Linked DNA regions of Arabidopsis thaliana. The protein of the gene in region 3 purifies or fractionates together with the protein of the main gene of each other region. This does not show direct contact. Each region holds a gene or a part of one and is shown on either strand. Other genes may lie near its edges.

Region 1 (8,300 bases), on a different chromosome or scaffold from region 3:
AATAAACAAAAATAAAAATTAAGCATTAAAAGCATGACGTTTTCGTGTCCTCGAGTATCAATCCGTATCTAAAAACCATCCAAGTGATCTTTTCCCCTTTTTTTTTTTAATGTGTTTCTTTCTCTAAATTTATGCCTCTAGAAAATTTAAGTAAATCAATCATAAACGTTTGAATTTTCTCATCTAGTTTTTTTTTTTTTTTTGAGTTTTGTTTCGTCTCATTTGCACACCTTCTCAGGGATTTTTGGACGTAGAGAAAAACATTTCGTACGTTTTGAGCCATGCCTTTCCGTTCCAAAGTCCAGCCTATCAACATCAATGGTGTAGGGATGAGACAAGCGCCGAGATCTCGACTGAAGCGGCTTTTTGAACGTCCGTTCTCTCTGAAGAACTTAGCCGGTGTAGATTCATCGCTTTCTAGAGAAAATTCCGAAGAAATCGAACCGAGCTCGGTCTGTTTGAGGAGGATGGTGCAGAACTATATCGAGGATCCAGACAGTGAGAAACAATCAAAGTGCATTGTTCGTAACCGATGCAACTGCTTCAGTGGAAGTGGTACTGATAGCTCTGACGAGGACGACGAAGAATCTTCTTCTTCTAGAAGAGTTCTTCGAAGCCTCAAGGTATGATGAATAATATCTCTGATGCTCACATTTGATGTTTGGAATCTGTTATAAACAGAGTTTCTTTTCTTTTCAATGTTTTGTAGAGTCTTTTACTTTGTGCGAACGTATCTGAGCGTGATCTCGAGACGAAAACAACCGAGATCGTTGAGAGAGAGGTTGAAGATAAGTCCAGACTGAAAAATGTTGTTGATGAACTGGTGGCTTTAGGCTATGATGCAGCAATATGCAAATCTCGCTGGGAGAAATCGAAAACGAAATCGTATTGTGTTCCCGCTGGTACGTTTCTTCATTTTGATCCACTCTCTAAGTGTCAAAACTGTTAAGAAAATAACCTTTTTTTTTGTGGAAAATGGTAAACAGGGGACTATGAGTATTTGGATGTTAACATTGGAGGAGAAAGAGTGCTCATCGACTTTGATTTCCAATCGAAGTTCGAAATTGCTAGATCGAGTGAGACTTACGAGTCGATATCGAAGACATTGCCTTACGTCTTTGTTGGACAAGTTGACAGGTTGACGAAGGTTGTGGTATTTTTGTCTAAAGCCGCAAAGACGAGCTTTAGGAAGAAAGGGCTATTTATGCCACCATGGAGGAGAGCAGAGTATTTGTTAACCAAATGGGTGTCTCAATATGATCGTACTAAGCAAACTCAAGGAGAAACCAGTGGACAAGCTGGTGTTGTCCATCCTTAAATATATAATATTAGCTTAATTATCAATAAACACATGGGATTAAAATCTCTTTTGATTGTTTTTTGTTGTAAGGGTATGATTTTAAGGATCATGATCATATCCTCTTTGTTGTTTTTAAGATTTCTTCTGATCCCTTGTAGAAGAAACCAATCTTTCTTTTGAGTTTGTTTATTTTTATTGCATTTTTGCTTTCATTTAAATTGACTTCAAAATAATTATAAAAAGATTAACGACAGCCACAAAAATAGAGACCAATCAGAGAAAAGCACGAAACAGAGTGTGCTAAAAACAGAGAAAGCGAAAAAGATAAGCCATTTAGACAAATTTCTTCTAACAATGTATATCAAGGTTACGAAATCAAGGATATCACACTGCTGAAAATGCATCTTCTGACTCTAAACCATACACAAACTCTGACTCATTGATTTATCATGTTCAAAACGACCTGAGCTCTGTGAAAGATTTGATGGCTGATCTAGGTGACCCTATGGCTAAGAATAGAGCACGAAAGAACTAAGTAATCCCTGAAATTCCTAATTTCGTGAAGTCCAGAAAATCAACACGAAATCTCTACCCGTTCAGCTCAATTTCTGAATCTCAAGCTTACTTTAAGATTAGAACCCTAAATCAATCATATGATACTCACTATCTTAATCAAAATAAACACAAAGGAAGAGGCATGGTAAACACAATCAACCAAAGAAAGCCAAAACTACCAAAAGAGAGAGAAAGAGCCAAAAATAATAAACGAGAGAAACTAAGCAAAATTTCAGACAGCTAAAAATATAAAGAAGCATTTGCTGGTTATTATGGCTCTAATGGAAACACACTGTTGAAAAAGAATTGCACATGTCTTTTGTTTTCTTCCCCCAAAACACAACACCCTACACTCAGAACATATGTAATATGGAGAAACTGATGTATATAGTGTCATATATGATGTAATTAACGCACAAATGATGAAAGAACACGATTGCTAAAAATAAAATTGTCCAAAACTTTTTGAGTTTGTTATAAAACATAAAGGAGTTTGAGTTTACCTTAGAAGCTAACAACAAAACTTCACTCATCAACTTCTGCTTTGATTTCTCTTTGGAGATCTTCTTTGTACTCTTCAAATGTGCCTGGGAAGAAATTCACTGTTCCGTCTTCTACAACCCAAATTTGACTCTTCTCCTCTTCCGCACATACACGTGATATGAGTCTCGAGTCGTGACTCACCAACACAACTCCACCTGTGAACTCATCTAGTGCATCCGCCAAGGCATCTATACTCTGCATGTCTAAGTGATTTGTAGGCTCGTCCAGAAGCAAAATGTGTGGTTTTGACATTGAGATCGAGGTGAACACAACCCTAGCCTTTTGTCCTCCAGACAATTTCGCAATTGGAGATAAGTGATTGTGACTTGGTAGCCCAAACTTGCCTAGCTTCGCTCGCACTGCCTCTTGCTTGCTAAATCCCTCTTGGTCAGGATGAAGACGAAGGAGATACTGAACCGGTGTTTCCCCCATTGTTAAAAGGTCAACAAAATGCTGAGAATACCTGCCAATCCTCAGCTTCTGGCTTCTTCTCATTTCACCCTCTGTTGGAACTAAATCTCCCGCAAGAAGATTTAATAGAGTGGACTTTCCTGCTCCGTTAGGCCCAACTATCGCAACCCGTGTCCCCATATCGATACCTACATCAACATTCGAGAGTCTGAAATCTGGCCTGTTGGGATAGCTGAAGCTAACCTCAATTAACTGCAGAAGAGGAGGAGTGAGCTCAGTTGGTTCTGGGAAGTGGAACACCACACTGTAATCTCTCCACTTCCTTGGAGCTTCTGGTGCTGGGCCTTCTTCATCCACTGTCTTGCCCTTTGACTTACTCTTGGATGCTTCTTTTGCAGCAGTAAACTTGGCCCTGTCCTTTACCTTCTCCTGTTGACCCCGGTTTCCAGTCCTCTTCGCTGCTTTCATCTGTTTGTCGTAGACATCAAATTTTTTGTTCATCTCCTTGCGACGCTGCTCATATCCGCTTTCAAAACCATCGAAATTACCACGGTAGAAGTGGAGATTTTGGTCATGGAGATGTATTATCTCCGTGCAGACTGTGTTGAGGAAGTCCCGGTCATGTGAAACAACAACTAGTGTCTTCTTCCAGCGACACAAATACTCCTCTAACCATAGAACAGCTCTCAGGTCAAGATGGTTAGTGGGTTCATCTAACAGCAAAAGGGTAGGTTGCACGAACAGAGCTCTAGCTAATGATATTCGCATCCTCCAGCCACCACTGAAGGACTGAGTCGCACGCACTTGCATATCTTTTGTGAAACCTAACCCCGCAAGAATTTTGGATGCCTGTGCTTCAGCAGCATCTGACCCTAAAATCTGCAGCCTGTCATACAGTTCAGCAAGCTTTTCTCCAGTATCATCATCATCCTCACCATCAACATTTTCTCCATCAGCTCCAGAAGACGACTTCTGCAGAGCTTCAGCCTCTTCCCGTAGCTTAACCAACTCTTCATTGGCAGAGACAACTGCATTCAGAGCACTCTTTTCATCACCAACCACCTCTTGCTCAACAAGAAGAACATCAATATTCTTTGGCACTGGAATCTTCCTCCAAGCTAAAAGCTTTAACAGTGTAGACTTTCCCATTCCGTTTGGCCCGATCAACCCATACCTTTTACCATGTGAAATCCTGACAGAAGCATTCTTCAAAAGCTCTTTACCTCGAGCAGATACAGAAAAAGATTCTATGGTAATATCCTTAACATTTGCATCAGCCATGTCGTCTCCTTCAAGCACTGAGGTCTTGCTTCCAATAACAACCGTGAATGCATCATGATCGTCCTTCATAGCCTCCCTCTTTGCCGACTCTGCAGCCTGAAGAGCTAATCTTTCTTTCGCCTCTCGCTTCTTTTGTTCCTTATCAGTCACAGATATCTCAAGGTGCCTTTGTTCACTCTTCAGCTTCCTCCTTGCTTCCTTCTGTCTCTCTTCCTCATCAGATTCACCGTCGTCTTCTTCATCAGAAGGAGGAAGATCTATGCCATCAGTGTAAGATGTAGATTTCGGAGCAGCCTTGGTTCTAGATGATGAGCCCTTCTTCGGTTTATCATCTTTCTGATCCATGCCTGCAAGCATAGCCGAGACTGACAATTTCTCTTTTTTAGAATCTTTCGAAGCATCTTTCCCACTTGGCTTCACCTTTGTGGTAGCAGCACTCTCGTCTGACTTCTTCTTACCCATTTAAAACTGTACCTGACATGAAACATCAATAAACAGCCAATAAGTTATCAAACGAATAATCATATATTATCTAGCAAGCTAATTCGAAAACTACCAAACTCAGGCCTCTGGTACTGGTAACAGAGCTCCAGAATTAGGGTTTTTCTACTTGACAATGGTGACAAAAAGCTCAAGCTCAAAACTTTATTGAAACCCAGTAAATAATTATTCATATAAACAAATCTGATGCATTCTCAAATCAATTTCGATTCTTTACCATCTAATCCGTTTCAAAAGAGGATAAATCAAAGAATTAGGATTTATTAGCAAATTAATAGACGAACCCTAAGAGGAATTCACTTTTCATAAAAGCACAACTATAAGCAAATGAAAACCTAAAACTGTTAAACGAGAGATATCGATCCGAATCTGATTAAAAAAAACAGAGGGAACTTCAATTCGGTACATATCTAAAACGAAATTCACCACAAGAATATCAAAGAGAAGAATATGAAACTCACCTAGTGAGAGAGATTGCGTAGATGAACGAGAGCGATAGAGAAAACGAACAAACGACGAAACGAAAAAAAAAAGGGGATTGAAGCAGACGGAGAGAAGAGAATCGCTTAGTTATTACTCAACTCCTTTCTAGTGTCTTATTGGGCCTCATTATGGGCTTATTACAGCTGAAATATTTGGGCCTTTTCTCTAATTTCCAAATTGAAGTAAAGCATTCAACTTATGAAAATAGTTAACATCATTTATTCTTGACATATATCATAATTCTGTTAATTAATTCAAAATCAAGGGTTCTATACACACATAGGTATGATCGAAATCCGAATTAATCAAATCATCCAAACAATAATAACATGCGCCACGAGGTTCCCTACCTCAGATATTCAGTATATGTTCTAAGTCATTCAATGAACAACATCAAGGTTCTTCTCCCTCAGATATTCGATATTTGTTTTAAGTCCTGTCTAGAGATGTTGTGGTGGGTAAAAAAGCCCAGCCCGACCTGAACCCAAAATAAATCCGCCCACCAAAAACCCAACTTTACAAAACCCAGATGGGTTTTTGATTTAGTGGGTAAAGCCCGAAAAAACCTGATTGTTCTGAGACTACCCGTGGGTACCCAACTTGGTTTTTGTCATTTTCTTAGAGTTTATTTTAACTGCTAATATACTATTATATGTATGTTGTATCTATAATTTGCTTATAAATATATTTTAAATTATATTTATTTTCTGTATTACATATATATTTGATGGGAAAAAGGTTGAATTGTGTTTTTAGCGGAAAAATGTTGAATCGCGTTTTTGGCGGAAAAATGTTGAATTGCGTTTTTGACCGGAAAATGTGAAATCCTTTTTGGCGGGAAAATGTTGAATGCCGTTTTTGGCGGGAAAATGTTAAATTGCGTTTTTAGCGGGAAAAGTGAAATTATTTTTGGTGGAAAATGTTGAATCGCGTTTTTGGCGGAAAAATGTTGAATTGCGTTTTGGCGGGAAAATATTGAATGTCGTTTTTGGCGGGAAAATGTTGAATTGCGTTTTGGCGGGAAAATATTGAATGTCGTTTTTGGCGGGAAAATGTTGAATTGCGTTTTGGCGGGAAAATGTTGATTGTCGTTTTTGGCGGAAAAATGTTGAATGTCTTTTTTAGCGGGAAAATATTGAATGTCTTTTTTGGCGGTAAATGTTAAATCGCGGTTTTGACGGAAAAATGTGAAATCTTTTTTGACGAGAAAATGTTGATTCACCTGAAAAAGGACTGAAAAAAACCCGTGGGTACCCATTACCCAATGAGGTAAACCCATATGGGTTTTATTTATTTGGGTACCCAGCCCATTTTAAACCTATGTTTTTTTTTCCAGAAAAAATAGATCTATGGGCTTAAAATTTTATGTGGGTTTTGGGTACCGAGTGGGTTTTAACCCATCATTAACATTTCTAGTCCTTTCAATGGGATTTAGAGTTTTTTTGGTTCTTGTGAATGCATCATATGTATTTATGTATTACTCATTAGGCCAAACGAGGCTGGAATTTGAGATGAAATCTTACCAAGAAATGGTTGTTAAGTAGCTGAGGCAGATCTCTGAGACCAATCAACAGCTGATCTGGTTACAGAACAAGATCACACAATACTGAAAGAGTATGGCTCTATGGAAATTATGAGTGAGAATCTGCGTAAAACTGCAGAGCATAATCGTGAGACCGAGAACAAAGATTCAACATGAACAGAACAGAGAAGAGGTAAGTTATTTCCGGAAAAAAAAAACATACAAACTTGACATTCTGTATTACCTAGATACCTACTGATACACATATTCAAAAATAAAACACAGAGTTTTCTAAGAATCAATCAAGCAGATACAGGATAAAAGAGGAGGGGAATTTGAGGCTTTGCAGCAGCAAGAACGTGCTAAGGTTGTTGAGCAGCCTATATGACTATTAGTCGCCATTGTAGTAAGTAAGACTGATCTAAGGAAGCATTACTCTTAACTTAATGTGACCACAACCTGTTCGTGACAATCTGTTAGATTGAAGACTTGTCAAAATCCCAATCATTCACATTTCATTGTTTAATCACAATAAGCTCTAATTATCATGACAAACATTTCTTTGTATTTTATGCCTCAAGTAGATGATAATATATAGAAGAGACAGATGGTCAAACTATAATTAATAACCAAAAAGAAAGAATACACAAAAGAAGATTCTTTTGGAGACGAGCCATTGACTTTCTTGGAGTGGGGTGCAAGGGTTTGCATAATCAGCTCTGAGAGTTTTTATTTTATTATGTTAACAATGTTTTTTCTCTCTATATAACAACACAAGAGAACAAGGCTTCCATGTAAAAACTTGCTTGCTAAAATACATATAACACTCAGAAGAAGCTATGGAAAATCTCAAAGCCGATGGTCAGGAAACTTCTAATTTCAAAACAATATCCATCTCAGTTGGTATGGGATGCAACTATAGTAAAAAGGGCTCCGAGAAACTTTCCTGCAACATGGTTTCACCATGCCCTGGCTCATTTGGGCGTTCATCATTTGCAGAAGCAAAGAAGCGATTGGAAAAGCTCGAGCAAGATTATCAACACACCTACGAGAAGTACACAGAACTACAAGTAAGCATCAATACATAAAACAAAATAGTGAATATTTGTAAAGTTGTTAGAAACTTATAGGGCCAGTTCTTTATGGACAGTCAGACAGGTATATGTACTACATTGCTTTTCAACGTCCAGGACATCACAGTCGCTGGGTTGGCTACTGTATCGATCACATCGAAAATGTAGTAGAGCAACTGCAGAATGTTCTTGACAAGCTGAATACAGAAGAAGCATCACAAAGAGGAAGAGAAACACCAACAAACGTATGTTCCCATAGACCAGTTTTTCTAGCAACTTAGGATATATAATTGAAGCACTGATCATAGTTCAGTAAATCATATTATGTATTATTTATGTGAACCATACTTGTTTAGGGTAAGCAATTCTTCTTGACGCACGGTTGTAAAAGCTTGGCACAAGAAAATATGGTACTTCAGAAGCTGAAAGCAGAAACCAAAGAGCAATACACTGATGGTCTGTGTCAAGAAACAATTGATGTCAAAAGAATTAATTGGGAGGTACCACTCAACTCTACTCCTACTGAAAGCCTCTTAACTAATTATTGTAAATGAGGTTTTAAATATTTACTTCTCCATCTTATGATAAAATCAGTTCATTTGCATTCAAAGAATAGTTCCACAGAATAGCA
Region 2 (7,685 bases), on a different chromosome or scaffold from region 3:
TTACAAATACAAACGCAGAAATCTGCTTTTCCAATTCTGTAATTAAACATAATGACGAATAGAAAGAGTTCAAATAAGATTATTAAGTCTATTGCCCGAAGAAGTATGGATTTTCATAAACAAGACTAAAAAGGGGGATTTATGCTACAGACCTGGTCCTGATCTTGATTTGTCAAGCGGGACATTATCGCATTGTAGATTGGATGAACAAACGGTTTAAAATCAAAGCCCATTCCCTAAACCACAGAAGAAAAAATATCAGCGGATGTTTCAGCCTGTGATTTATAAATAGCTTCGGCACAAAATAAGAAACGGCAAAAAAATTGTGAGTCTGTATATGGGTATATATATATGGTTCAAACTTCTAAATAAATGAAGAGGAAAGACTGAAATCAGTAAATGTGTACATGACATCTAAATGCAATGAGATACTCACCGCAGTACTTGGGCGTACTACTCTGACAAGTTCCCCACAAACCCTTAATGCCTCAGCAGTCACCTTATAATAGCGTTCACCAACAGCAGCTAAAACAGGACTTGAAAGAGCCTAGAATTACAAAAAAGTTCAAGAGTCAGTTTTTACTTTCAAAAACTGGGTTTTGAAGTGTAGGGAGTCAAACATTTGGGCAATATATCAATAGACTGAAAACCACTTAATGTTTCCCAACCTTAATGTAAGGGTGAAAAACAGGAGGCGCATGTGATGCCAAGACTAATTTGGTGAAGACAAGAGCTTCAATTTTCAAGTTTGATGTAGAAGATTTATCCTGGAGAAGTAAAAAATAGAGAAAACATGAGCACTTGAAAAAGAGCAACACTGACAGTGACAGTCCATAAATAAGTGTAATGAATATATCCACTAACATTTAGCGCCCTTTCAATTCCAGGAACAAGTGAACCAATATGATCAGCAAGACAGTCAGGCAGGACAACCACAAGTTCTCTCAAAACAGAGAATGCTCCAACCTACAGATATGAAAGAAGTTATGAAAGTATCAAACAGGAACCAAACCAAAAAGAATGTTTAACACTTTCATACCTTTGTCTTAACAGACTTTTCGCGCAGTTGCCTATTTATGGATTTCACAATCTTTGAGACTTCTTGCTTCAGTAGCCATTTTGGACTGCATAAACCAAAGGTATACATATTTAGTTAGCAGGGTTTCATCAGAAATGTGACAGACCATCCATATTGAAGTGAAAGGACTCAGAATTTTTGCCTTGATTCATCGGTGTCAGTTTGACCTTTTGTAACATTTCCCGTTTGCCGCAACAGATCAATGAATGTGTTGAATACATCCATCTGTAACAACAGTACCTCAGTCTTAGATCAATAACCATATTGCAAAGCAAGAATAGAGCATTAATGGATTAAATTACATACCTTCACATTTTCCTCCCTTTCCTTAAATCTATCAATTAGTTTCGGGCAGGCCTGCACAAGAAGAGACTAAACTCCTCAACAATAATTCTATAGTAGATTCTTGTTTCATATTTAATCAAACACAGGTAAAAGAATGAAAAACTCTTGTGTAAGGGAATCTTGTACACTCCCGTCATGAAAGATAATACGCTTGATCATTTAAAAAAGATATACCTCTTGATATACTTTAGTGAGCATCTCAGAACGCGAAACGATTAATCCTGCTAGGCATTTGGCCGCTGCTCTCCTAACTTTCCAGCTGGCATCTTCATCATCTGTGTACTCATTTGCACTCTCGCTGTGAGAAAGAAAGACTTATTTCAGTGAGATAATGGTGCACCGTAAGGAGCTAGGCTACTGTTCCAATGAATAAATCAGAACTTACTCATCTTCTTCATCTTCAAGAGTCTCATTATCAGTATCTTCCTCCATATTGTCCGTAAAATTCGGGTCATAACTAATATATTCTAAAGTAAGATTTAAAATTTCATCACAATATGGTGAGATGTCCCTGGGACATCGTAGCAAGAAACTTTCAAGTGCCTGCAGTCAAATTTCAGAACAGACATGTTATCGTCTACATTGTTCATACCAATTTTATTGAACCTAAGATTAGAATTCCAATTTAATAGCATAGGAAAGAAAAGAGACTACAAGCACGCCTAAGTAATTGTCTGATTACAAAAATTAGATGAGAAAACAAAAAATGCAAGCGTAGTGAGAAAGTAGGAACATTAGGGAATCTTGCACGATACCTGTAAGCTATACTCGCGAAGCTCCTCGTCATTTTCTGAAGCGCTAGTGCAGTAATTGATTAATACTGGCACAGTGTTACCTAGATGAGTGCCAAACCGGTAACCAACAGCACGGCTGAAACAAAAACGCATTAAATAGCATTACAACCATGGCAAGCCTAGTCGTAGATAACCATTCATCCCAATCAATAAATAGGTAGCACAAGTACAACTAACCGAAGCATACTACAACACTACAGTAACGTATGGTAAGAAGTTAAAGATATATAACAAGCCGATAAGAAGGAAGATAGGAAGTACCATAAAGCTCCAATCATTTGAATATTGGTACGTGTAATCTCCGATTTTGCATTCCTGTTACTTAGATTTTTCACAACTTCAACAGTCGCCTTCGCGAGCAAATCATCAGACAGACTGGAAGCAAGAGAAGCTGACACCACACAAAATTTTGAACTTAGAAGAGGCTATATACCATCGAATTAAGAGTTCTATATACGACTAGGAAAAAAATGACATTGAATATATCATTTGAACTAGCATCGGTTTCACAAGAATTGACGCAAACAGCTGAAAACCATATTTCTAATATAGATAAGGAAAGCTACCACTCAAGTCTCGGCAGATTAAAGTTGGTTTCAAATTAGCTAAATATTGACATTAGTACCGACAGTACCCAGCAATCATATTGACTCAATTTTATGAACTTACCAATGCATGTAACAGTCTTCTTCCTGACTGTGGCTTGGTTACAGCCCAATTGCAATAACAATGTATTCAATAGCTTCTCGTGATCATCCGTCATTAAACTTCCATATTTTTGAACAACATCACACATGATCTCAAGACATTCACACTTGATCCCTGAGCTCATTCCCTTCAGCAGTAAATACGCAGAAAATTAGTTACTTGTAAAATAAGATGATAGAACCTTAGAGTAGACAAATAATTATATGCATATACTGTGCTCTGGTCTACTAAGAGTTTTTCAGACAGAGTTCTTTAACTGTATTAGATCCAATAAAACTTAAAACGTAAAATCAACTAATTTTCCAATAGATGTCAATCAATATGATTTTGATGGGATCCGAAATTGTCTAGGACGACCCTAAGCACTGTCGCATATGCAATCGAAATAATAAGGAATAGACCTCCCAACAACTAACCTGGCCACTTATTCCTCCTATCATTTGTGGTGTTAGAGTAACAAGAATAGATGGAGCAAGCGTAGGAGCAATTTGAGCGACAACAGTCCTGAGAGCTATGCTTGCGGTATCACGATGCTGGTCTTTCCCATGCAGCAGTTTATCACATAACTTGTTGGTCATTTCAACAATTCGTTCTTCTCCAACCTTCTTCACCAATGGAGCAAGACTGGAACAAAATCATAACATCAAAGGTCGACGATAGATCAGCTAAATGTAAAAGTATAACATCAGCTTAGGTCATAAGTTGCTAAGAGCAGAAAGCTAACCATTTAACAGCCAATCCAGAAACATCACCAGCCACATCATCGAGCTGTTGCAATATGATACTCGACAATCTCACCTCCAAGTCCAGGTCGATTTTAAAGGAATCCTTATTCAACTCATTAAGCAAATCAGAGGTTGCCATGTATCTGTAATCTTTATCTTTACCCGTCATCTGAAACTATAGTAAATACAGCAATGAGAAAAGGTGACTATACTCAAAAACAAAATTAAGCTTAATTAGAAACAGATGATGAAAAGACCTTTTCGAGTATCCCAGAAACTTGTAAGTTCGCCATATTGGCCCGACCTTCTCAATTCACTCCTTCCAACTGCAATCAAACAAGGATCTCAAAATTCATTACTTAGTAAAAAGAGAATCAACCATGCGTTGAACTAAAACGCTTAGTCAGAGCAATGTCACTCTATCAAGCTCTCCACAGAGGTTAAAACATCAGAAACAAAGTCAGAAGTGTAAAGAAGAAGCATCGAAGATGGATTAATTATCGCCGGTAACAAAACCTAATTAATATCCCTTAGAAAACTTTTGATTCATCGAAGATCACAAAGAAGAAGTTCGGTTTGATAAATCAAAGTATCGTCGCCACCAAAACCCTAAGACTACGACTACGAAGACGAAAAGAGTTAACGCTAGACATCATCACACTTTATCGATCAAAAAGCAAAAAAGAGGTAACCCTAAGTAACCTGAGAAGATGAAATCGACGGAGGTAACGCCGGAGACGGAGTAGAACGCCGAGAGTTCCGATTTGGTGGTGGTGGAAGTTGCGGAGAGGAGAGAGCTCTGAGGAAAGTAAAAAAAGATGGAGGAGATACTGTAAATTTCCGTACTCGTGAAAGCTTGATTTTTAGCCCTTCTCTCTTCTTAAGGAGGAAGTTAACTTTCTTCTAAATGGGCCTGTGTAGGATTAATTGGGCCTGACTTGGTGCGATTTGAGTCGGTTAATGGGTAGCGTTTATTTCATGCTGTACATTGTTGGACTTGATTAGTCGGTTAATACTAAATGGGTTTGGCCCAATTACTTTGTTTTCAGTCTGAGCCCAAGCATGGGTTTCTTTGTTTGATCCAAGTAGTTCTTTTTTTGTTTGCTTTTTTTGTGTCAGGGACATGCTATGCGATTGCGACCAACCAACTAAATAGTGTTAGCCATTGGTTCATCGACAATTTATGGTCAATATTTTTGAACGATTAGCAAGTAAAAAATTGTATCACTGAAAGTTTTCAACCTAGGCCAAGTATATGTGGTTTAGTGGTAGGGGAAGCTTTGGGAAGGATGAAACTCTTAGACCCGAGTTCGATTCTCCTTGAAAGTTGGTAAGTGTATAAGTTGGGTCTTGGTTTAATTGGTTTACTTGGTAATTAGAAATGTAGGCGGCCGCCTGACTACCCCCTGGCATTAGTCAGAAAGCATTTCAAACTCGTGACAGACAGACAGTATGGTGGTTTTTCGGGAAGAAGTCCACTCGAAAACATTTCGGTGTGTTTTTACTAGGGCTAACCAGATCAGCCGATAAGGTTTATAAGAAAAAAAAAAAATTGAATCAAAATCATTTGTTAAATGTTCCCGACCCAACGACTACCAAATAAACATGATTTCATTGTCGATAGTCATCGCTAACGATTATAAAGTTAACAAAATATAACTGATTGTCATTGTTGCTAACGACTAAAAAAAACTAAAACCGTAAAATATGGTATAGATGTGAGATTTTTTGTCGAAATTAGACTTCCTTTATTTTGAACTAGAACTTCGAAATTCAAATTATTAGATACTTTTGTCTAAGTAGTTTCTTCGTCATCTGTTTCTTCCACTTCCACGTGTGTAAATTTTTCGTGGGTTTCAGGATTAAGTCTTCCTTATGCTATTTCCTTAGTCTTAGTTGTTGACAAATATGTGCCCGTAGAATCTTCATACTTTCGAATGACAAATTCATCGCCAGACTCACGGTCACGCAAGAATGGAAGGTTAGACACCTCAGGCACATTCAAGTGTTGAAGCTCTTCAATTACTTGATTATAGACATACTAATATTTGAAAAGCAACAAAATTATGAATTTTTTCAGATGAGAAGTTAGGTCAGTGCTGTCCTCTAGTAGTTCCTCTATTACCTGAAAGAAAATGAATAACACACATCATGTCATCATACATGCAAATACAAAATCTAAATGTATAGTATACTACTATTTTGAACTAAACCAAGTAAAAAGTACCTCTCTACCACGTATAGTTTTAGTACCAATTATTTCATATGCTCTTTCGGATCCCTCCGTTAATGGCCATTTAAAATAGTCACAATCGCAAAGAATGCACATCTCCAGAAAATTATCGTCTGTGAATTCTGAAAAATCGTAAGATTTTGCTTCTTCTTTAGTTTCTTTTTCGTTGTCTTTATTTTTCTTGCTACTATGAAACCGCTTCAATAAGTCTATCATTTCGAGTTCAAGCAATTCAAAGTCTTTACTGGCGAAAATAATTTGTGATCACACAAAAGTTTAAAGTGGTAGTAAAAATTAATGTTATGTCTACATGAGAAAAACCTTTAAAATAATAATAATTGATAAGTGTATTAAAGAACTTACTCTTCAACATCTAAATGGTATGAGGTCAGTGTTAATAGTGAGAACCGCATAAACGCTTTTATCTTTATTATTAGCCAAATATACAAGCTGTGAGCAGCAACGATAAACTCAATATTCGGATACTTTTTTTTTTTAAACCTTCAATGGGAGAAAAAAGAAAGGTTAATAAAAAATTAGAAAGAAGTGAAAATTCTTAAAAATAATTATTTACCGTAAATGTTACCTCAATGAAAACATGTATCACATAAGGCGTGATGTGTATATGACTTTGAAAGATCTTAGTAGCATTCTTCTCTTTGTCCTTTCTCTTAGGGTCATCGGGAGCCATAAGTTGTGCTGATGCGTCAAGATCCTTTGCGTATTCTAGAGTTTTTATTGGGTTCCGCGGTGACTTAATAGGTAAACGATGTCCATCGAAAACAAGAATAGGATTCACATTACGGTCGATGAATTGTTTGACTTTTTTGATGACAAACATTATATGTTCAGAGTTGGGTGTAGTTGGTTCCTCCAAGAATTTCCGGGCATTATTTAAAGCACCTCTGTATAACCACATTGAAGCGTCAATTGCGAGAGTTTTACTGTTGAGAGCGGAAAAACTAATTGATTTCAGAACCTTGGATTTTCCATAGAGAGAGTACAAACTTGTGAAGCCCATAGCTTACAATTATTCTTTTTTTTTCTTTTTGAAGCAATAACAAAAAGGAGTGTGTGTCAATATATATAGTGTGATGAAAAGAGTCAAAATTTCCCGTTAGCTATTCCTTTCCATTATTTCTGCTATTTTCATTTTTTCCTAGTTTACATTTTTCTATATTATTATTGTTATATATTTCCATAATTTTGTTTGATTTTGCTGGCCGATTTCATCGTACGGACCTAACCCGGTTCGGTTTGGTTCAACTGTATTTCTATTATATTTTCTGGAAGTTTTTCTATTAACTATAATATATATTAGGTGATCACTCTCGATACGTCGCAGTTTTTTCGGATTCTTTTGTATTGTTTAATTTAAATATAATTTTTATTTATCTAATCATTCACTCATGCAATAAAAAATTATTTCAGTATTAAAATATTTTTTTTCTAACAACATTCTCAATAATGCATCATACACATCATTCATAAACAACGTTCATCTTAAACCAATTTAACAGAGGGTAGTGTTCGTAATTAGAAACATAAGAATTTGATGATGGATCGGAGCTCCGTACGTATTATGTACCCTCGATGATTTATTATATAAATATCAATTTAAAAAATAAACTACTCAAATCATTAACTAATTCACGACTATTATACACTCATACTTTGAGTTTGGATTACAAAAAAATCTTCGAGTATGAAAAAACTATTAAAATAAAATATTTAAATAAATTTATTGAAAAATTTATTGAAAAATCATGTAATATTTAAATAAATTTAGTAATAGTACAGTA
Region 3 (6,940 bases):
ACAGCTTGGTGAGGTTCGAGAAAAACGGAACATACAAGAGGGTTGAGCAGAGAGTGAAGACCGAACGGATCGTGGAGGTGACTTCTGAATCGGGTAAACCGGTGAATCGAGTCGTGCACCAGCGGACATATCCTCTTACAGTGATCACTTCTACTCTTAGAGGGTTAACCAACGACAAGGATACGTATATGCTCGTGACGAATGTTTCACACGCCTTGAATGAGACACATTCAGATGGAGAGGCTTTGATCCAAGTTTATAGCAGACAAGACTCAGAGGGTTGGATGGAGGTTGAAGATCACAATGTCTTGGCTGGTGAAGCGAGCACAAAACAGAGTCTTAGCTATATCGATGAATTCAGCTGTTATTCCCGCACCATCGTTGCGGCTAATGGGGAGATTGCCCAGGACAGTTCATCTGATTCTTGTACTTCGTCTTCATTCTCAGAGCTCAACACTATTGAGCAGCTTATCATAACCAATGTTATGAAACACTTGTCGTGAATAAGAGATGCTTGTACTACTAACCATGTTTGGGGTCAAACAAAAAATACTGTTTTTGCTCAAAGGGAAACAAAATTGTAGGATCTAAAGCAGAAACAGCAGTTACAATGCTTTTGCTTTTGTTCATTCAATTATCCCGCTACCTCCATCGATATCGACTTCTCCCATTCCAGTGTCTTCTTCTTCATCTTCGCTTCCCTCATCACCACTCATTTCTTCATTATCCATTCTAAGCTTAGCCATGTGCTCAGCAAGCAATTTGTCATCACGCTCACTCACCTAAAAATGTTGTAGCACATTAAAGTCACGGAACCGAAGAAAAGGAGTGACTGAAGTAGCAAATTCAGTCAACTAGTCATAGAAAAAGGCTACAAGACTTACCGCACGAGCACCTTCTTTAACGACAAGTTTACCCTTGTGTTCCTCAATTGCAGTAATGCATGCTTCAATTGCTTTATTCAGAGTCACTATTCCTTTTTCCTACTCAGTCAGAACAAGAAAGTGTCAATGTTACTATGTAATCCTCAATGTATCTCAAAACGGTTTCCGCTTATAAATAGGAGCACACCCAACAACCATAAACATACCTTGTAATGGGTGTGAGTTGTGAGTACATAAAGTGGTGGAGCAACGAGCTTGATTTTGACTGGACAATCATCAGTACCTACAGCCTCTGCCTTCTTCATGGCTTCCTGTAAATTCATAATAATAGCCAAACATCTTTAGCTAGAAGTAGAAAACAAACAGAGAAAACAAAAAAAAAAAACAGATAAGAAAAAGGAAAAGACTGACCTTGATGTGGAGAACTCCATCAAACTGAAAACACTTCAATTCAATATCAGCACGAATCTTCATTGGCTGTGGTGTCATTCTCCTCCTAATGTCCTTCAAAAATGCATCTTTCAATTCTTCAGACACAGCCGGGACAACTTTGGTCACCTGTACAGAAGATATGTTATAAGTCTTCATGATCAAATTAAAACAATGATAGAGAAGGCTGCTCAAGGCAAAGAGTGTTGTTACCTCCACACCATCAGGTCCAGTTTCTTTAACTTCTCGGGTAAGAGCATCGAAAACTGAATCAGGATCAGTGACAACAATTTTGAAAGCCTGAAACACACAGTCCAAGGTACACACCATCACAACATAGTTCGTACAAACGACAATGGGCCAACTATTACATAATAAAATCTTTGGAACTATTACCTCAAAAGCATGTCCATGCTTCTTATACAATGGCCAACCGATGTTTACGTATAGCTCCTACAAAAAAGAAGGTTTTTCCTCAGAAATTGGACCTTGTTTCAGTTCAAGAACATTGACCTACATTCAAACAAATTCGAGAAGAGTCAGAGAATCGTATGAATGAATATACCTCCAAATCGACACCAACAGTCTCAGCAACATGACGCATGATAGAGTGAACAAGCTTGCTCTTATTATACCTCTCCTCACAAGCCTCTTTGTCCTCATCACTAACCCTACGTTTACTGAGATCAATGTAACCTCTCTCTCTATCGACACGAAGGACCATAACAGGCTCGGTACGACCGACCTTGATTAAGCTACTGATACTACGAATCCGACGGCGAGAGAGCTCGGAGAACAGGATCATTCCTTCGATGTTGTTGTATTCAAGGAGAGATACGTAAGCTCCCATGTCAGCGATGGTCTTCACCTGAATCATCACCGCCATGTCTACATCAGGGTATCTCGATTCGTACATACGACATTCTAGATTCGGAGCAGGATTCGCCATGGTTATGAGATTCTTGAGAAAAGATTTCGGAAGCTACGAATTACAGAGAAAGTAAGATTGAGTTTCTTAGTAGAGAGCGTCGAGGATTGAGATTTAGGGTTTTCAAAATTGGTACGATTCTGTCGTTAAAAATAGTCGACGTCGTATAATCTTCAATCTCGCCGAGTCGCTCACATTCTCACGGCCCATTCTAGTACGACACCGTTTTTGTAGTTGGCTTGCTAACGATACCGTTTAATCTACAAAATAAAAGTACTGAAATTACTAAAAAGGTTATGAAACTAATTGATTCAAATAAAGAGATTAAAATGTTGAGATTAGCTTAACTTAATGAGCTGTGTATTTTTGGTAATATGTCGTAAATTAATTTACAACTTCAACCTCTTAATAATCGAAATATTCTTAGTTTACCCCATTATTTTAACTTGGGAAAAGTTCATCGAGAAGTATTTCGAATCGTGACCACTCACTCATAGTCATTTCTCTCCTTTCTTCGACCTCACACCAAAGAACATAAAAGAAGGAAATTGTAAGTTAGAACTAAAAGGCGAACACGAAGATTCATGCTTTCAGATGAGTCTAATCTTTATGAACCTTAATTATTACAAATCTTGCTTGTTCTTATCGAATCTACAGTTCTTTTTTTGGTTTTTTTTTTTGTCCATGTCTGTTTTGACTTTGTTGCCAAGGAATTTACTAAAACTAGTAAGTCTAAGCTCGTTCAGTCGTTTGCAATGTTTTAATTGAATCAATGGTTTGTTCTTCTTCCTCTATTGGATGTCATGGAAGTAAAAATCTTCAGGAATCTTCTTTGCCTTGATTCTGAGATTTTTGGAATTTAAAAGTTTAATCCTTTCCTACACTTCTTGTAATGATCAAAGATTACTGTGATTTTGTAAATTTTTCTATCGGTTCATAGTTTGTGATTTTGAGTTAAGTTGTTAAGAAATCATGCAAACTGCCAGAAATTTTTGTCCAGAATTGCAAATTGAAATTGATTTCGGTTTGGTTTACTTTGGTTTTGAAATTAAAAATGATTTTGGTCCGGTTAGCAATTGGTTTTGAGAAAAAAACAAAAAAAGTCACGCGATAGAGAATTTGGAGAGAAATGCGTCGATACAAAAAGGCATGAATTGGAAAGGGGTTTACCCACAGAATCGCTCTCACTCGCTCAACGCGCTCTTTCTGCGAGTGGGTACGAAATAGAGCCTTCTGATTGGTTTAGAAACGCAAAAAAAAAATGAAATAGTAGACATGTTGCTAGCTATGTTATTATTTACTTTTCCTCTCCTTAGGCAAAAACTAGATTCACGCTTTCAGATTTCAACTGGTGAGTGCTAAAATATGTATAAACCTTAATCATTGTTAATCGTCTTTGTTATCATCGAATCTATAGTTCTGGTATGAATTTTTTGGTTGTCCTGCTCTGTTTTTACTTTGTTGCCCAGAACTTTTACTAAAACTAGAAAGCTAAGCTCGTTTGTTATGTTTCATTTGGAGCAGTAAATTGTTCTTCTTCCTCCATTGGATGTGTATTTTTGTTTGTTCTTTATGTTCATTGTGTTGACTTGTCGGTTTTAGTGGAATGAACAAGTTGAGAGTGAAACTGAGACTAGTCGTCGTCCTTTGAATCTTTCAGATAAGGACCAACATATACCACAAGGCAAAGAATCTGTGCATGAAAAGGTTTGTTATTATTATCAACCTTATAATCATTAATTCATTATCGTATGGTTCATATCCTTGAACTGACTAAACAAACCATCAATGGTCTTATTAGATCGCAGGTTCGGAAATGAACCATAATTCAAATCAACCCACAACAACAAAGCTTTGAACTCACACGCTCTACTTCAACCACAAGGTTAGGGGAAGCATCCAACTCCTGCCATGAACCATCTTCACCACAGGTTTGAACCACGAACCGGACTCCCTTCACATCTGATCCAACGACCATTTCAGAGACATAATAAGCATCAACATGAGCTGTTCCAAGAAACACTTTCTCGCTTCTTGGTTCTTCCATAACCTTCCTTGGTCTATACTCACTCGAACTCAGATTCTCTGCATATACATTGTACTTTGGAAAGACAGAATCTTCTTCAGGGTGCTTCAATCTCCATTCTAGCTTACAACTTAAGGTCTTGGAGCCAGAATCACCCGGTACAAACTTTACGTGATGAGCCTCTATAACCCATGATGACGCCAGAGGATAAACCTTGGCTTTTTGCTGGCTCTTGATGGAGATATGTCCAAGCAATGCAAAATACTCTAGTGTGTTTGTTTCTTCTGTGAGATCATCTGGTCTGGAGCAGAAGGCAGATATCTCAGTCAGTGTGTGCCCATCTAAAACAAGGTTTGTTTCGTGTACTGTCCAACCGGATGTGGTCTGTTTTGATGTGAGAAGACATGGCAGGAACATGTCGCCAAATCTGTTGATAGATTCATTTGGCACCATAAGCATGGACTTTTTCTCTTGTGAAGGAGATGAAAAATGGAGCAGAATGCTTAGCTCGGATCTTTTATCTGACTTCACCTGCACCAGTCCAAAGACTTACATGATGAGTAAAACTTAAAGATTGAAACTTTGTAAAGATGAGGAGGAGCTCAAATCTTATGCGTTAACTTACAGAAAAGAAGATTGAGATTGGGGCAGCAGAGAGCTGAAGCTGAGGTTTGAATAGTCTTGCTGTGAAATGTGCATTTCTCTTTAGTTTTCCTCTGAAACTGACGTTCCCTCCTCCATTATAAGATGCTTCTCGACCACTAGCATATATGTGTGCTTAATTGTTAGATGCCAAAACAATTTCTTCTTAAGCTTCTTGAAAATCAAATATGAGGCTAGTATTAGGGATTTAGGGTCAGAACTCACTCAACAGTGACCTGAATGGTCTCTGAATTCCTTCCTTCATTGAATTCTAGGAATGGCTGTCACAAAGAACACAGCAGAAGAAATTATCAAATTGGTATATAGATAAGTCCAGATTAAAAATGTGACAAAAAAGGAAATGAGCTCTAGTGCAATAAAAGCTAGAACAAGGAGTGACCATTGAACCTGTAGACTTTGGCATGAGATGTTGTACCAGGGAGCTTCTGATAATTTCCGACCTCCAAGAGAGGTATGAGAACCAAGGCCCTATATAATAAACAAGTGGAGAGTTTCAAAACTCAGTAGAACATAGAATAGCCATGCTCATTTGCATCTATTCATTGGGAACAAAGTTTGACTTCACCTGATTAAAATCTGAGTAGAAAGGTAGGACTTGAGGATATGTTTGAACTATACCCCATGACTTCTCAACAAGTGACCACCATCTAAAGAAAGATAACATATGATGAATAAGATTGCAAAGATTAATTTTACCATCACATTTGGCCATTTGCAAGTATTACTTGTTTTGTGCCGTGTAAAAATCCGGGGGTTGCTCGGTTTCGTATACCCATCCAGGAGCAAATATCGCAGCTGATACATTACTGCTCTTCAGCAAATCAAGAGCAACATTTGCCTACAATACAAAAGAATTGAACAAACGTATAAAAACTTTATATGCAGCTTGAACATTGCAGACTACTGGTTGAATGAATTTGTTAGAATAAAGATACATACAGTCCATTGCCCACCACCGTAAGTTCCCCGACCAAACACATCTATTCCCATGTAGACATCATATTTTCTATCACCGGCAATTTCAGCTGATGCTTTGGGGTAGTTCTCCTGAAAGAGATACCTACTCAGTACTCATATCACAATCAAAACATATAAGATGAATGAAGATGAAGTGATTGATTGAAGTGAAAGGCCAAACCTTCCATGTATAGTTCATGAATATACCATCGCATATATCAAAGAAAGGTTTATTATTCTCGGTTAACTGATCTTGCCAAGCAAGATGACCATCAATAGTGACACTATCATACCTACAAAAAAAAAGTAATAGAAAAGATCAGTATAGTCTAGAAACAGATGAATGATTTTGACAAAAAGAAAAGCTTCTCAACACTCACCATATAACTAAACCTCCAGGTACAGATGAATGCATGACTTTTGTTAGATGGCTTACAAAAACCATCAAATTTGGAATTTGAACTTCATCTATTACATTCTCTATATTTATCTGCAAGTAACAATTCACAAGCAAAGTAAATTATCAATAATATTGCTGAACAAAGAGATCCATATATAGCAAAAAGAAAAATCACCAGCCAGCCATCAAAGCCAAGAGCAGCAGCAAGTTCAGCCAAACGCTCTGCATACATCTGCGCAGATTCCTTTGTGGCCAACAACTCTTTGCAGGTAGCTTTTCCTTCGTCCCATTCTGTGATGAAAGTCCCCAATACCTTAACATTTCCATAAAACACACACAAGAAAATGAATCATTCCTTATAACAACCATAATTGTACTTCTCTGCTTTCACAGACCAAGACAACCAAACTCCCTATCACTTATTCATTTCCTCTCTAATCAAAGTTCAACTTTTTTCTACGACTTGCAACGACTTTACTCACTTACATTCAATGATCGAAACTTGAGTTACTTTAACTATATAAATCAGCTAAACTTTGAAAAGTCAACACATTGACTTACTTTGACGCCATGTCTGTGAGCAGTGTTGGTCCAACAAGGAGGAGGAAGAGTCACTAGAGAGTGAGAGAAGTAAACGAAAACGTCCATCAAAT

Evidence for each region. Proteins that work in one complex are often made in the same cells at the same time.
Region 1: the proteins of EIF2 ALPHA (region 3) and ABCF4 fractionate together in Arabidopsis thaliana (co-fractionation; one large-scale study listed by BioGRID). This does not show direct contact.
Region 2: the proteins of EIF2 ALPHA (region 3) and CAND1 fractionate together in Arabidopsis thaliana (co-fractionation; one large-scale study listed by BioGRID). This does not show direct contact.

What each region holds. Positions count from the first base shown.
Region 1 is NC_003074.8:20,186,645-20,194,944, reverse strand, and holds ABCF4 (general control non-repressible 4), read right to left. Parts: upstream 5,152-8,300; 5' UTR 5,053-5,151; intron 4,565-5,052; 5' UTR 4,553-4,564; coding exon 2,381-4,552; 3' UTR 2,005-2,380; downstream 1-2,004. Other genes in the region: AT3G54550 (DNA-directed RNA polymerase subunit beta-beta protein, putative (DUF506)), read left to right, coding at 282-623, 710-902, 987-1,318; AT3G54530 (uncharacterized protein), read left to right, coding at 7,436-7,666, 7,747-7,914, 8,026-8,169, 8,264-8,300.
Region 2 is NC_003071.7:686,603-694,287, reverse strand, and holds the start of CAND1 (cullin-associated and neddylation dissociated), read right to left. Parts: upstream 4,505-7,685; 5' UTR 4,353-4,504; intron 3,977-4,352; 5' UTR 3,944-3,976; coding exon 3,908-3,943; intron 3,826-3,907; coding exon 3,650-3,825; intron 3,550-3,649; coding exon 3,342-3,549; intron 3,053-3,341; coding exon 2,887-3,052; intron 2,609-2,886; coding exon 2,479-2,608; intron 2,294-2,478; coding exon 2,179-2,293; intron 1,967-2,178; coding exon 1,809-1,966; intron 1,722-1,808; coding exon 1,598-1,721; intron 1,436-1,597; coding exon 1,385-1,435; intron 1,304-1,384; coding exon 1,221-1,303; intron 1,125-1,220; coding exon 1,040-1,124; intron 967-1,039; coding exon 865-966; intron 768-864; coding exon 669-767; intron 548-668; coding exon 437-547; intron 237-436; coding exon 153-236; intron 1-152. Other genes in the region: AT2G02550 (PIN domain-like family protein), read right to left, coding at 5,524-5,691, 6,470-6,904. UniProt on the Arabidopsis thaliana protein: Key assembly factor of SCF (SKP1-CUL1-F-box protein) E3 ubiquitin ligase complexes that promotes the exchange of the substrate-recognition F-box subunit in SCF complexes, thereby playing a key role in the cellular repertoire of SCF complexes.
Region 3 is NC_003076.8:1,615,901-1,622,840, reverse strand, and holds EIF2 ALPHA (eukaryotic translation initiation factor 2 alpha subunit), read right to left. Parts: upstream 2,384-6,940; 5' UTR 2,263-2,383; coding exon 1,879-2,262; intron 1,767-1,878; coding exon 1,710-1,766; intron 1,614-1,709; coding exon 1,527-1,613; intron 1,443-1,526; coding exon 1,296-1,442; intron 1,196-1,295; coding exon 1,091-1,195; intron 984-1,090; coding exon 885-983; intron 783-884; coding exon 627-782; 3' UTR 504-626; downstream 1-503. Other genes in the region: AT5G05480 (Peptide-N4-(N-acetyl-beta-glucosaminyl)asparagine amidase A protein), read left to right, coding at 1-503; ENGase85A (Glycosyl hydrolase family 85), read right to left, coding at 4,070-4,798, 4,893-5,028, 5,135-5,190, 5,318-5,398, 5,496-5,577, 5,656-5,768, 5,870-5,977, 6,069-6,180 and 3 more.